Canis lupus familiaris: one gene and its partners. The protein of the gene in region 2 interacts with the protein of the main gene of each other region in a biochemical or structural test. Links are inferred from orthologs where the notes say so. Each region holds a gene or a part of one and is shown on either strand. Other genes may lie near its edges.

The links. The genes of interacting proteins can lie anywhere in the genome.
Region 1: the proteins of CRHR1 (region 2) and MPDZ form a complex in vitro, tested with the Homo sapiens proteins (2 studies listed by BioGRID and IntAct, with this or other methods). The link is inferred for Canis lupus familiaris from reciprocal best matches to the Homo sapiens genes CRHR1 and MPDZ.
Region 3: the proteins of CRHR1 (region 2) and DLG4 form a complex in vitro, tested with the Homo sapiens proteins (2 studies listed by BioGRID and IntAct, with this or other methods). The link is inferred for Canis lupus familiaris from reciprocal best matches to the Homo sapiens genes CRHR1 and DLG4.

The regions. Positions count from the first base shown.
Region 1 is NC_049232.1:33,907,429-33,912,194, reverse strand, and holds the start of MPDZ (multiple PDZ domain protein), read left to right. Parts: upstream 1-1,533; 5' UTR 1,534-1,696; intron 1,697-4,766. UniProt on the Homo sapiens protein: Member of the NMDAR signaling complex that may play a role in control of AMPAR potentiation and synaptic plasticity in excitatory synapses. Promotes clustering of HT2RC at the cell surface.
Region 2 is NC_049230.1:17,153,118-17,157,187, reverse strand, and holds part of CRHR1 (corticotropin-releasing factor receptor 1), read right to left. Parts: intron 3,497-4,070; coding exon 3,356-3,496; 3' UTR 1-3,355.
Region 3 is NC_049226.1:32,392,632-32,397,169, forward strand, and holds the start of DLG4 (disks large homolog 4), read right to left. Parts: upstream 3,234-4,538; 5' UTR 3,108-3,233; coding exon 2,939-3,107; intron 2,264-2,938; exon of another isoform or gene 2,168-2,263; coding exon 2,069-2,167; intron 1,868-2,068; coding exon 1,827-1,867; intron 945-1,826; exon of another isoform or gene 788-944; coding exon of another isoform or gene 758-787; intron 1-757. Other genes in the region: ACADVL (very long-chain specific acyl-CoA dehydrogenase, mitochondrial), read left to right, coding at 3,449-3,510, 3,587-3,662, 3,935-4,000, 4,089-4,161, 4,243-4,307, 4,418-4,538. UniProt on the Homo sapiens protein: Postsynaptic scaffolding protein that plays a critical role in synaptogenesis and synaptic plasticity by providing a platform for the postsynaptic clustering of crucial synaptic proteins.

The DNA.
Region 1 (4,766 bases), on a different chromosome or scaffold from region 2:
AATCTAGTCAGTGTTTTTATTTCCCTAGCGGGCAAATCTACACCGATGCCTACGTCTGAGAAAGCACAACGGGTCTCAGGCTGGGGGCACTCTCTCCACCCAAGGCATTTTGGCTTTTTTGCTCCCAGTCATTTGCAGGCAACTGATCTATTTTGAAGCCTTCTGAAAATATTCATTTAAAGCTCAACTCAGTTTCCCTCTGGGGCCTCGTATGTTTTGAAACCGTATTTCCCCTTAAATATTTGGTGAATATTTGAAAAATAGAATTGACTTTTTTTTCGTAGACCAAAAAATAAAAAAAATTTACAAGTCTGCTAAAGAAATCAGAACTTTCAATTCGGGATATTAAAAGAAATTCTTCTAAACATTTTAAGTTAGACTTCTGAGTATCCTTTAATGTATGTTCTTTTTTTGTTGTTGTTGTTACAGATTTTGTTTATTTATTCATGAGACACACACACACACACACACACACACACACACACACACACACACACACAGAGAGAGAGAGAAGCAGAGACACAGGCAGAGGGAGAAGCAGGCTCCACGCAGGGAGCCTGATGCGGACTCGATCCCAGGACCCCAGGATCAACGCCCTGAGCCGAAGGCAGGCACTAAACCGCTCAGCCACCCATATTCTAATATTAGATGTCCGTATTGAGAAAGGAAGGGATTTTCTTCTGCAGAAAAGATTCCTGGGGCTCAGGAATTGAAGGTATCAGAAACACAACCTTAAGCGGCACAAAATAGAGATGAATATGTCTTTCCTCGCACCATGCAATTCTGAACCCTTCTTTTATGTATATTGTTTCTGTCTTTTAATTGGATATGTCTAAGCAGCACAGTAACGTTCTAAAAGTTACTTAGAATGCGAGGTCATTAGTTCCACTCCCCATGCCTCATCGTTAAAGCGCTTCTTCTCATCACCATCCCATAACCGCTTAAATAAGCTACCCATACAGACGGCATCCACAAGGCAGTCCACATAATGAAATTTTAAGTCCTCAAAACCAGAAATAGGGGTTACCAGTTCCCACAGGTTGCCAGACTTAGGAACATAAGAGACCCCAGTTAAATTCGAATTTCAGATAAACAAGGAGCATTTCTTTTAGTGTAAGTACGTCCCAAGCATCCCAGGGGCCACGTCTGGCCAACATAATCACCGCTGCTTCCTGGGCAGTCGGGTCGACCGGGCGCCCCGCGTGCCCCCCCAGCCCCCCCCAGCCCCACCCGGGCGAGGTCCCAGAGCCCGCGCCCCGCACCCCAGGCCGAGCGCCCGCCGCGCAGGTTTAAAACCCAGGACCCGGGGCTGGGCCGCGCCCCCTGATTGGCCGAGGCGCGCCCGCCGCCCGCCGGCCGCAGGCGTCACGCAGCCCCGGCAGCCCGGGCCCCGCCGCCTCCTCCGCGGCAGCCCGGTCGGCGCAAGTGCGGCGCGCGGGGGAGGGGGCGCGGCGGAGCGGAGGCTGGCGTCGGGCCGCCGCCGGCCGGGCGGGCGGGATTAAGTTTCCCGGCGGCGCGCGAGTGTCGGTGCGCGTCTACCCCGAAGCTCCTCGCCGGGCCGTTACTCAGCGGAGAAGAGGGCGAGCGGGGACAGAGGCGCGGCCGCCGAGGCCCCGGCTCCCCGGCTCCCCGGCTCCCCGGCCCTCCGGCCCTCCTCCCCTGTGCGCCCCCGCCCGGGGCGGCCGCCGCCAGCCGGGTAAGCGGCGCCGGGGCCCGGGCCGGGAGGCGGGGAGGCCGGGCGCGCCCCCGAGCTCTGCGCGCGCCGGCCGGGAGGTGCGCGGGCGCCGGTCCGGGGCGCGGGGCGCGGGGCGCGGGCGCGGGCGCGGGCGCGGGGCTCGGCGGGCGGGGTGCGTGCGCCCCACCCCGCGCGGACGGGCGGCCCGGCTCTAGCAGGATGGGGGCTGGAAGTTTCCTTGGCTACTTGCTGGCCCCCGAGCTCCAGCCCCAGTCCGGGCAGCCCCCCAGCCCCCCAGCCCCCCCGCCTTTGCCCTTGCTGACTCTAAATGCTTTAAAAGTTTTTTTTTTTTTTTTTTTTTCTTTTTTTCTTTTTCTTCGCCTGGAGGGGCACGGGGATGGTGCCAGAAGGGGGAACCGCGGCCCAGGCCCAGGAGCCTGTTGCTCGCCGCCGGCGTGGCCGCGCCCCGGGCCGGACGCCCGCTCCGGGGTGACGCGGTGCGGGGCGCGTAGCGGGTGCGGAGAGAGCCCCCCCCCGCCCCCGCCCCCCGCCCCCCGCAGACCGGCGTCTCCGGCCCTGGCCGCCGGCCCCGAGCGCGCCGCTGATTGATGCCCGCCCCCGTCCCCCGCGGCGCCCGTGCCCTTTCATCCCCTGCCCCCCGCGGGGGGAGCTTGCGCTCTCGCCCCCCGCTTCGGCCGCCCCGCGCCCACGGGCCGCCTTTGTCTGCGATTCGCAGCCGGGGGTGCCGGATGTGCCTCGGGGAGCGCGGTTCCCAGACGCTTTGTGTCCTGGGAGTTGTGTGCGTGTGTGTCGGGGGTGGTGATGGTGTAAATTTTTGCTTGCGTTCTTTGCAGAGGCACAAAGGCCGGGCTATTCTTTCCAGCAGATCACATGGAAATGCAGGCTGGGACTGCCTCGCGTAGGAGGGGCCCCGCGACGGCGGGGGGTGGGGGGCGGGGGGGCGCTGCGCCGCGGCCGGGGGCGAGGCGGGGGCGGGGGCGGGGGGACGCCAGCTGGGCGGGTGGGGCTTGCGGAGCCTGCTGGGCTGGCGCGGACCCCGGACCCCGGACCCCGAGCGTGGGCGCTGCGTGTGGTGCGGGGAGGGTGCGGTGGCAGCTAGTGCTGCTTCGGTAGCATCAGACGAGAGGACCGTGACTTCAGCGTAGGTCGATACTCTCCATGTTCATTGGATGTCCAGAGGGGAAGACTCAGCAAAGTGACTAGACGCTGTCACCCAGCCTTGGTGGACAGCTGTGCTGTAAACATCCCTCTGTGTTTCCCTAGGCATTTCTTCTCATTTAGGTTGCCTTTTACAAAAACGAAACAAAACAAGAAACCAAAAAACCCCGTGATCTGAAAAACCAACGAGGTGATGGTTTGGGGCTTGGGAGTGTTTACACGCTGACTTTAGTATGGGTGACTACAATGAACTTTTTTTAAGGGTCACATGATCTATATTTGGTATATACTTGAGCGCCTGATAGAATTTAGGTTAAAAAAATGCATTTAAGAAAAACAAAACTTCCCGTTCCTAGGTTTGAGCTATTAATATAACGTAAAGCTCTGGATGGATGCTCTGGTGCCTTTGCCTGAAGGAGGAGCTAAGAGGGTTTAGAGGGTGGTGGGGATAATCTTGTCTGGGCTGCCCAGATTTCCTGCTAGCTAATGAGCTAGTTTACAAACGTGGTTTTTTTTCTAGATTGAGCTATATCCTCGCTCAGTTCATATTAGGGTCTTTTATTTAAAAAAAAAAAAAGATTTTATTTATTTATTCATGAGAGACGCCCAGAGATGCAGAGACATAGGCAGAGGGAGAAGCAAGCATCCTGCAGGGAGCCCGATGTGAGACTCCATCCCGGGACCCCAGGATCAGGCCGTGAGCCAAAGGCAGGCGCTAAACCAATGAACCACCCAGGTGCCACCATGTTAGGGTCTTTTAAAACGGAGGTCTCTAAAGTTAATGGGTCATAGGCCAAGTTGGCCAGCAGCAGCCTGTTTTCCCCTAAAGCGTAGGAGTTAGAAGTGGTTTGTGCAATTTTATATGGCTCAAAAAATCAAAAGAATATTATATCATGGCATGTGAAAATCATATGAAAATCAAATCTCAGTGTGCTGTTATAAGTAGAGTTTTATTGGCACACAGCCACACTCATTAGTATTGTGTGTGGTGGATTCTTACTGTCTCTGGCTCCTTTCACAGCAGCAGTGGGAGAGTTGAGTAGTTGCATAGTTGAGACACAGATACATAGCCTTCAAAGTATGAAAGAAAGTATGTTGCCTTTCTCTTATTCTTTACAGAAAAAATCGCCAACCTAGAGCAGGCTTTAAAAGAATTGCTTAAATACTTCCTCGTGTGATGGATGCATTGCTTAATTTCATTGCCTTTAACTGTTTCTGGTGTCCTCTGAAGTGGCTGACTTTTCCCAACTAGGTAGTCAGATTAAGTGAATGTATTGGATTTTCACATTTCCAAGTTTCACTCTCAGAAAGATTCTTAACCTTTTGATTCTTTTTCTTTTTTGTCAGAATCTAGGATAAAGTGAGTTTTCTGATTGGCAGAAATTATGTGTGTAGTTACTCTAATATAGATAGCCCAATTTCAGGGTGTTCTTCGCTGAGTTCTAGCGGCTTCTTGCTACTGTGCTACCTGAGCAGGTTTTGAGAATCACAGTTTTGTTCATTTAGGTGGAGAGCAGCTGGGGTTAGAGGATGTCAGGAATACGTTTTTGCAGGGAAGTTACCACTTTAGGCAAAGCTAGTTTGTGAGGGAGCTTGACTCTTCAACAATCCTCTTCCCTAAACCTTTGCTAAAACAAAAAAAAATGTTTATTCTCAACATATTACTAAGAGATCAATCATATGTGTACATGCGTATAATATGCATTCTTTTCATTTCATTGGTATTGGTATTTCATTTCTTCTCTCTCGTTTCTGGTTTTCTTCCTCATTTTTTTCTGTACTCCTTCCTTTTATCTCCTAAGCCTGTTGCCTGTGGTTTAGGCAGGGCAAGATGTGAGTTACTGTTTTTAGTATGCTCCGAATCCCTATCACAAAGACATTTTCAGTATGCTCCAAATCCCTATCACAGAGC
Region 2 (4,070 bases):
CCCTGAGGCCTCCTGCTGCCCCCTCTCCCCCAGAGCTGCTCTATCTGTCCTGGCCTCCTAAAACCCAAACCCAGGGGGTGGAAAGATCCCTGCATGTGGAGCCAGAGGACCTTTGATCTCAGAGGAATTACCAGGCCTCAGTGTCTTTGGCTGTAGAATGGGAAGGTTCTGCCTCCTTGAGTTACTTGAGGATTAGATGATATCATAAAGGATTATACAGATTGCAAAGCAGTTTACAAATGCCCACAATTAAGGTGTTATTACCTGGATTCTAAAACCTCCCTGCCTCCTTAGCACATGTTTTCCCACATCTGGCTCCCTCCCCTGCCCTATCCTAGGGCATCTGACCCAGCAGCAGCAGGAGGACTGAGGAGGCCTGAAGGGGATGCTGAGGACCCCAGGGCAGGGGCCTGTCATCACACTTAGAGGTGGAGGAGCCCGAAATGGAAACCACACAGTGGGGATTTTCCTCCCCTGGGGATCTGTGCCCATGAAGGAGGGTCCCAAGGAGAAACGGGCTCGGATGGGGTACTCCAGGGGACTGTGGCCTCCAGGCTTGAGGGAGCGGTCTGTCCTGCAGTGACCCCCTCCCCCTGTGGTTGCCAGGCCTCTGCCCCAGCACAGTGGCATGTGTATCCATCCCTTATACCCTCAGGCTGAACCTCAGGGAACAATGACCCTCAGAAACCCCATCTGGGGGCCTGCCTTCACCCTGCTTCCTGAGCCCTGGGCTGTGACAGGCTTATACCCTGGGCACCTGCCCTCCCCCACCCCCGCAGAGGAGTTACAGTTCTCTGGGGCCCAGATGTTCCTGAAGCAGCCCCTCCTCCCTTACAGTCTCTGAATGGGAGGTGTCCTGAGGCTCATCTGGACCAGCCCCTGCCTGCCCCCCACTTCCCCCAGGAGCTCCTCTGATGACTGTCAGCCCCGTCCTGGAGGTGTCCTCTGATGGCTTTCAAGACCCGGCAGCTCCAGGCTTTGCAGTTGGCTGCTGGCACTCATCTCGGGGGGCTACTCATCTCCCCGCCTTGTGCTGGGCCTGGCAGTTTCGAATGCACAGTAGGTGCTTGGAAGGAGGCACAAGCAGAAGGGACACTGCCTCAGCTTGCCCCCCACCCAGGACCTCTTGTCCAAGCAACCTCCTTACAATGTCCTCTCCTCCTCCTCCCAGGCTGCTCTGTCCTTGGGGAGCCCTGTCCCCACAGCCCAACTCGTACAGGAGAAGCCTTGCTTTCTCACTTCTTCACTGGGCGAATAACAGTTGAGAAAGATGCCTCAATTGTGGCCCGTTTGAGATTCCTCAGGCACTTCTGGTCCCTTCCTGGGGCCATCAGCCTGTCTCTGTCCTGGTGCCTCTGGTCCCCTCCCCGAGTCCCTGGTCCCTGTGTGCCAGGGTGGAGTTTCCACGTCCCACCCCCTCTCCTGCCCTCAGGCTGCCTCCCACCACACCCTGCTGTGCCTGTGCACGCTCCCTCAGTGTGTATCTCTCTCTCTGTGTCTCTGTTGTCATGTGGCCCCTGTGCTCCCTACCCCCGGGGGCAGCCTTCCTCCCCTGTGGCCCCTCAGGTGGGCTGAAGGCGGGGATGCCCCCTCGGGCTTCTGCAGTAGGATTATGCTCCAGCTGCCCCTAGTAGTGGCTGTGGTGTGGGCACCCCTGCTCCGGCCGCCTCCCTGGCCTGGCCTCCCGCCCCCACCCGCTCCCCGTGCTCCCCTTCCCTACTTGGTTCTGGAAACCTTGTCTCTGGCTCTGTTTCTGGGGCTCTCAAGCTGAGACAGTGTCAAGGCCTCCTTAACTCTACTTCCTGCTTCCAGCTTGGCCCTTCCCTTGGGGCTGGGAGACATTCCTGCCTGGTCCCATTGCCACACCTTGGCTAGAGCTGTCGCCATGGGCCCTGACCCCTCTAGTGTCCTTGGCCAGCACTGCTCACCTGTGGCCCTTCTCTCCCTATGACTCATCCCTTTTAAGAGCCGTCCTTGTCAGCTGCGTCCGCAGGCCCATGCCCCCAGTGGCTCACCTAGCACCCCATCGGGATGGGTGTGAATGGTGTCAGGTTTCCCAGCCACAGGCTGGCTGGCCCCAGACTGAAAAGTGGCCTCCATTTCTCTGCTGTGCCCTTCCCACCCAACCCCGCATAGTCCAGACCTTCACAGATGCTGGTTGAAAAGATAAATATTATTATTTACAGCAGCCACCCCCTCACAGCTGACACCTTATCTCCCAAGGCCTGGCTCCAGTGGCCCAGTACTCTGGACACAGGAGGGTCCAGTGGGGGCTGCTGATTGCCCCGAGAACCAGTTGTCTTGCTCCAGGACACTCAGGCAGAGAGGATCCAAGTCCCCTGCCCCTTCTATCTTTGCTTAGCTAATCATGCTGCTCCAGAGGTCATCCAGGCACCAGAAACCCCCTGTACCCAGTAGAGAGGCTGCCCCAGATGCCAGACCACTGACACCAGCAGGCAGGATGGCCCAGAGCATTCTCTGTTCTCTAAAAGGGAGACTGGCTTTGGCTGGGGCACACCCTGGTTCTTGCTCACAGGACACTCCATCTCCTTCCAACCCCCACTTCCCACACAGGGGGAGACACCAGGGGCAGGAGGTGACACATCAGGGTGTGGGTATTGTGGGTGGTTAAGGACCGGGGCGGGGGGCTGAGTGGCCTGCAGGGCATAAAGGTCCAAGGGTACAAGGCAGCGAGACAGGGCATTTCTGATGGCAGTGCCACAGTGCCAGATGAAATTATGGTGGCTTGGGAGGATTTCTTGTGGTGTGGCCTACTGTCTGATGATGTCACCTGGTTTCTAATGACATGGCCAGGGCTTTCTGGTGACCTGGCTTTGGTTCCCACTGGTATTAGAAGGCATTGCCAACACCCAGAGGCATCATCACGGTGGTTGGGATGCTGTCACAGGAGTTTCCCATGATGCTCCTAGGGCAGCAATTGGTGCCTTGCAGTTGCTGAGGACAGGCCCCAGGTCTCCAGGAGGCTGGCCATCTTGTGCTCTGGGAGAAGACGCCTCTTGGAAGGACCTCTGTGCTGCCTTGGATTTTCTGGCTGGCCATCTCCACTCCATTCTCATTCCATCTCCGGGGAGGACTTGGGGCACAAGGGAGCCAGAGGCCCTGGGCCCAGCCCAATCCTATAGGTTATTTCCCATTCATCCCATGGCCCAGACTATGGCTGCTCTCATAGGCCTAGAACTCCTGCTCATTCCGGGGCCGGGGGGGTGGGGTGGGGCCCACGCTGTCAGTGCCAGATGCTTCTGGGGATACAGATTGTGAGAAGGATTTGGTCCCCTCCATAGATAGGGCAGCTGGCCAAGCCTGGAGACCATCTTCCGCTCCGTGGCCCTCCAGCTCAGACTGCCGTGGACTGCTTGATACTGTGGAAGCTGACACGGGTGGGAGAGGTGGGGATGGACATGGCGCGGGCCACGCGGGCACGGATCGAGTGCTTGTCCTGCCATCGATGCCACCTCTTCCGGATGGCAGAGCGGACCTGTGGGCACAGAGCAGAGCATGGTGTCTGAGCCTGGATCTCAGGACTCCCTTCCATCCCCTAGGGCTGCCACAAGCAGCAGTACACGTGAGCAGTCTGCAGGCGTGCAGTACGCAGGTGTGAAACGCAAAGGGGGCCACACAGGAGGAGGTGCCATGCATGTCATCAACATTATTTGCCTATTTGTTAGGATGATTTTTGCAAGTATTCTGAGAAGAGAAGACTTTTTCCCATCCACACAGAGGCACCGATGGCCTTTGCCACAAAGAATTCCTACCTTCAGCACATATGCATGCCCTGCCCAAGGGCTTAGCCCTTCCTGTTTTCAACAAGCATTTTCACAGACTCATCGATGGGACTGAAGCCCTGACTTCTGACTCCCTGTGCCAACTGCCTATGGGAGCAAAGCAGTGGGCTTGCCACTATAGGAGCAGTGTGGGCAGGTGTCAGGGGCCCTCCTGGGGCTCCTGGCTGCATCCTCATTAGGGACCTGGGGGCAGGGAGGAGGAGCTGGCATGTGGAGGGCAGGAGGAGGCTATAGACAATCTCAGGTCCCAGAAGTCCCCCACCCCCC
Region 3 (4,538 bases), on a different chromosome or scaffold from region 2:
CCTCCTCAAATCCCCTCTCTCCCCAAAGCTCTCCTCCTCCTCCTCCTCAGGGTCTGGCATCCTCCACTGCTGCAAGCCTCTCCCTCCCAAGGGAGCACCCCAAATCCTCACCTCACCTGGTCCATTCCCTCAGGTGATCCTGTGTCAGGCGCTAGCCCTCTGACAACTCCCAACTATCCCGCTCTATAGGACCAAACCCTGAATTCCCAGTTCCCCGTAATTGAGCGTACCCCCAAATGTATCCACCACAAGACGCTTGCTCTATAGGTTGAAGGCCCACCCCTCCTCTGCCAGCTGACACCCCCAGACCAGTCAGGCACTCACAGCCAATAACCGTCTACCCCCATGCCAAGAGCCCCCTGAAATTGGACGAGACACCCAGAAGCCAGTTTGTCCCTCAGGAGGGAAGAGAACCCCCCCTCACACAGTCCACCTTCTAATGCACAAGAGCAGGACTCCCATGTGAGCCAGGCTTCTCCTTAAATAAGTCTCCCTCAAACATCATTGGTGAACCCCAAAACCCATCAGCCCCCCCAAACCACAAAACAGCCCAAATTTTCCATTTCTCTACAGGTACAAAGAGATCACTCCAGGGGGCACCTGTGGCCAAACCTAGCATGATCTCAAATGTGAACCCCCAAAGTAAATCATGACCCCCCAGTACACTCCCAGCCCCCAGCCCCAGATCAGGCCTGCCTAACCCCTCCCCACAAACTCATACCCTCCCCCCAGTTGAGAGCCCCCCTATCGTGCTTACCTTGGTTGTCACTATACAGAGACAGTCCATGTTGGGGGGGCTGGCCGCGGCGGCGGGTAAGGGGCTCTGACTTCATCGGAGTTTCGTTCCTCCCCTCTGTGGGTTCTCACCCCTCCCCCCTCCGCACCCCACTTTTGCAGGGGGGGCCAGGATGGGGGGAGGGGTGAGAGGGGAAAGAGGGGGTTGGAGAAGGGAAGGGGAGGGGTGCGTGGGAGGGAGGGGAAGGGGGCCCTAGAAGGGAGTCCCCAGTGGAGGGGAGGGGGCCTGGGGAGCACACCCCGATTCTCAGGAGGGGCGGGGGCACCGGGGGCTGGCAGCCCCGGAGTTCGGGGGCTGGGGCATGAGCTGGGTGGGGGAGGGGAACTGGATTTCAGGGAGCCCCGGGGTAGGGGGGGGGTCTTGCCTGCCGGCCAGGGGCTAGGGCCGCGGCGGGGGAGTGGGGTGGGGGGGTTGGAGGCGGCAGCGGCCGAGGGAGCCGTGGAGCCGAGGAGGGAAGGGGAGAGAGGAGGAGAGAGGAAGCAGGGGGAGGGAGGGAGGGAGCGAGGAGCGAGGATGGGGGGGTGCCTTGGCAGAGTTAACTGCTTCAGTGCTGGCAGGAACCCGGATAATGGGAGAGGAGAGCAGAGCGGAGGCAGACAGGCCCCAAGGCAAAGATGGAGGCCTGGCCAGGCACCAGCGCCAGAGATCAGGAGGCCTCCTGGGTCTCAGGAGAGGAAGCACCCGCTGTGGGGCTGGCAGCACCCATGCTAGTTGCAGTGCTGGCTGGCGGGAGGGGGGGTCTGGGGGGGCAGGCAGGGGGGAGTCCGGTGGGGGGGCAGCTCTCCCTCAGGCTGCACAGGAGGAAGGATGAGAAGTAATTCTGTGCTGGACTCCTTATGCCCGAAATTGGGGCCAAGGGAGGAGGGGGGCGGGGAAGCAGAAGGGGAAAGGGACCAACAGGACCGTGGAGTCTGGGATTCTCTGCACCCCGGGCTCAGAAGTCTGTCTTCAAGGCCCCCAAGGGTGGGGCGGCAGCTCGGCCCCTGCCCTGTCTGCCCCTCTGGGGAGGCGCCCCACCTCACCCCCTTACCTGGCTCTCTGAGATGGAAGCCTCATAATAGTCCAGGATGTCTGTCACCAGAATACAGCTGAGTTACCCTCCCCCACCCCACCTGGGGGGGCTCCCCTGCCCCCACCCCTGCCCTGACTGCTGCTGGCACCTTAGGGCCTCCTGGCTGCCAACCGGACAGTCCCCCAAGTGTGTTCACTGCCCTGGCAGGCCCAGGCCAGCCCTTCGCACCCCAGCGTCCCCAGAGAATCAGGGCTACTCACCCAGCAGGGCCTGGAAGAGGTCACTGTGCAGGACAGCCAAGAGAGGGGGCGCCCATCGCAACAGTGGGGGGGCCAGGAGCCAGAGGGCTGACCGGGGAGCTGGTGAAATGCAAGCGAGGGAGGAATGGGATGGGGAAGAGACCCATGGACCAAGGCGCGGCTCACTCACCTCCCCTAGCCTGTCCCCTCTCCCTGGGCTTAAGTGGGGTGGGGAAGGATCAGCAGGAGGGTCCTCAAGTCCCAGCCCCACTCGGCTCCGCCCCCAGGCCTTTCCTCCATGGGACTCTCCAGTTTCACCTCTGGGTCTCTCGGACATCTCTCTTCTCTGATTTTAATCTCCCTAATCCCCAGGGTTGGAGCTGAGCTGCCTCCCCACCAGGTTCCAGCCTTTAGCCTTTAGCCACCGAAGTGGGCAGTCCTGTCCTAACCCCCTGGGTCGCCTGGCACAATGGTCTCTCTTCCCAAAGCCAGGGGTGAGTTTGCTGCACTTTCCAGAGGGACTGGGCACTGGGGACGGGGGTGGGGGTGGAGGGGTGTCCCCAAGGAGGCTCCTGCAGCCCCAGCCCAGGCCTCTCCCCACTGGGTGTGTCAGCAGGGCAGGGGTATACATGACCTATACATGACCTGGGACTCCTTGACCCAGAGCTAGGTGTGTGTGGTGAGAGTGGGCGACAGAAGAATCCCTACAGTTCCACTCCCCCTGGGAAGAGTCCAGGATGTCACACAGTCTCAGGAGGAAACAAGGGCAGAGACTCCAGCGCCCCAATGGGGAGGCGGTGAATTTGCAGAGGGGAAGGGAGGGGAGGGCCCTACGGTGAGAATTCAGGTGTTTCTAAAGTTAGTGACACCTCAGGTCTCAGGAGAATATACCTGGGCCGCCCCACGCCACCATGTCCCTCCCTCTCGTGTTGATGGAGATGGGTTTCACAAGGGACTCCATAGAGTCATCTGCCCCTGCTTCCGCCGTCTTACATTTTTTTTCTCCCACCTCTCCCTTCCAACTCCACCGGGGAAGTCCTCCTGTTGGCCCACCCTCCATCCCTCCGGCTGCAAAAGCCTGAGCTGCTCCTCCTTCCACCCCAGCCTATCCCATCGCCCCTTCCGAGGGCTACACTCGAGCTGGGCCGGGTGGGACGAAGGCGTTTGGGAGAGACGGAAACGTCTGGAGATAGCCCTACGTTAACCAGAATGCAGGGGCGGGGTGGGGGAGGCCCCGCCCCGGAACTACATCTCCCAGCATGCGCTGGCGGCCGGAAGCCCAGCCCCCCCGGTGCATTGTGGACGATGAGTCAAGACCGGACCAGGGCAGCCAGTCTTTGGCAGACGGGTGGACGGCGCTAGATCTGCGCTCAGGACCGCGGCGACCGGAGTGGTTGGGAGATGCAGGCGGCACGGATGGCCCCGAGCGTGGGGCGGCAGCTGCGGAGGCTGGGGGTCGGAAGGTGCGAGTCGGACAGGAGGGCAGGGCCGGGGTGGCAGCGGGACCGGGGACCCGGACTGAGCCCCCGCTCCCCACAGCTCGCGGCCCAGCGCGCTCCTGGGGCAGCCCCTGCCCGGTCCGGCCTGCCGACCCTATGCCAGTGGGGCCGCTCAGGTGAGTGACGGCGGCCTGGGGCGCGCAGAGCGGGAGGCGGAGTCCGCCTCGGCTCCCCCTTCCCCGCCGCCGGCAGGGGTCTCCCTCTCCGTCCCGGACACCTGGCGCCCGCGGTAGCGCCGAAAGTAGGGGAAAGGGCAGGCCAGGGTGCCCTGACGATGGAAGTAGGGGAAAGGTCGCTGCGTCCGCCTCCGCCCGCACCCAGCGCTTCCCGTGGTCTCCAGCTCCTCGGGAGTCCCTTACCGGGCCTCGCTAACTGTCCCTTTCCCCAGGCGGTTCTGGAGAAGTCAGATTCCCACTCCTCTGAGGCTCCGACCAGAGAGAAGCAGGCCAAGGCGGTACGTGGCCTCCATACCGGGAGGACCTAGGCCAGGGGCTCACCCACTGCAGCAGACAGCTCGCTGAAACCCCCTTCTCCCTGAGCAGGAATCCAAGTCCTTTGCTGCGGGGATGTTCAAGGGTCAGCTCACCACCGATCAGGTGTTCCCTTACCCATCTGGTAAGTAGTCGTCGGGGCGGGGCAGGGCAGGGCCTCTCCACTTCCCCGGTGACCTGACCAGCCTGTCCTTCTCCCCCACAGTACTCAGTGAGGAGCAGACCCAGTTTCTCAAAGAACTGGTGGGGCCTGTGTCCCGTTTCTTTGAGGTGAGGAAGGACTGGGGTGGGGGAACAGAGGGCTTTGGTCCCTGATGGGATGGCAGAGGTGTTCAGCAGCCAGAAAGGAACCTGGATGCGACATCCTGTGCCTTCTCCAGGAAGTGAACGATCCTGCCAAGAATGACACGTTGGAGAAGGTGGAGGAGACCACACTGCAAGGCCTCAAGGAGCTGGGGGCCTTTGGTCTGCAAGTACCCAGCGAGCTGGGTGGTGTGGGCC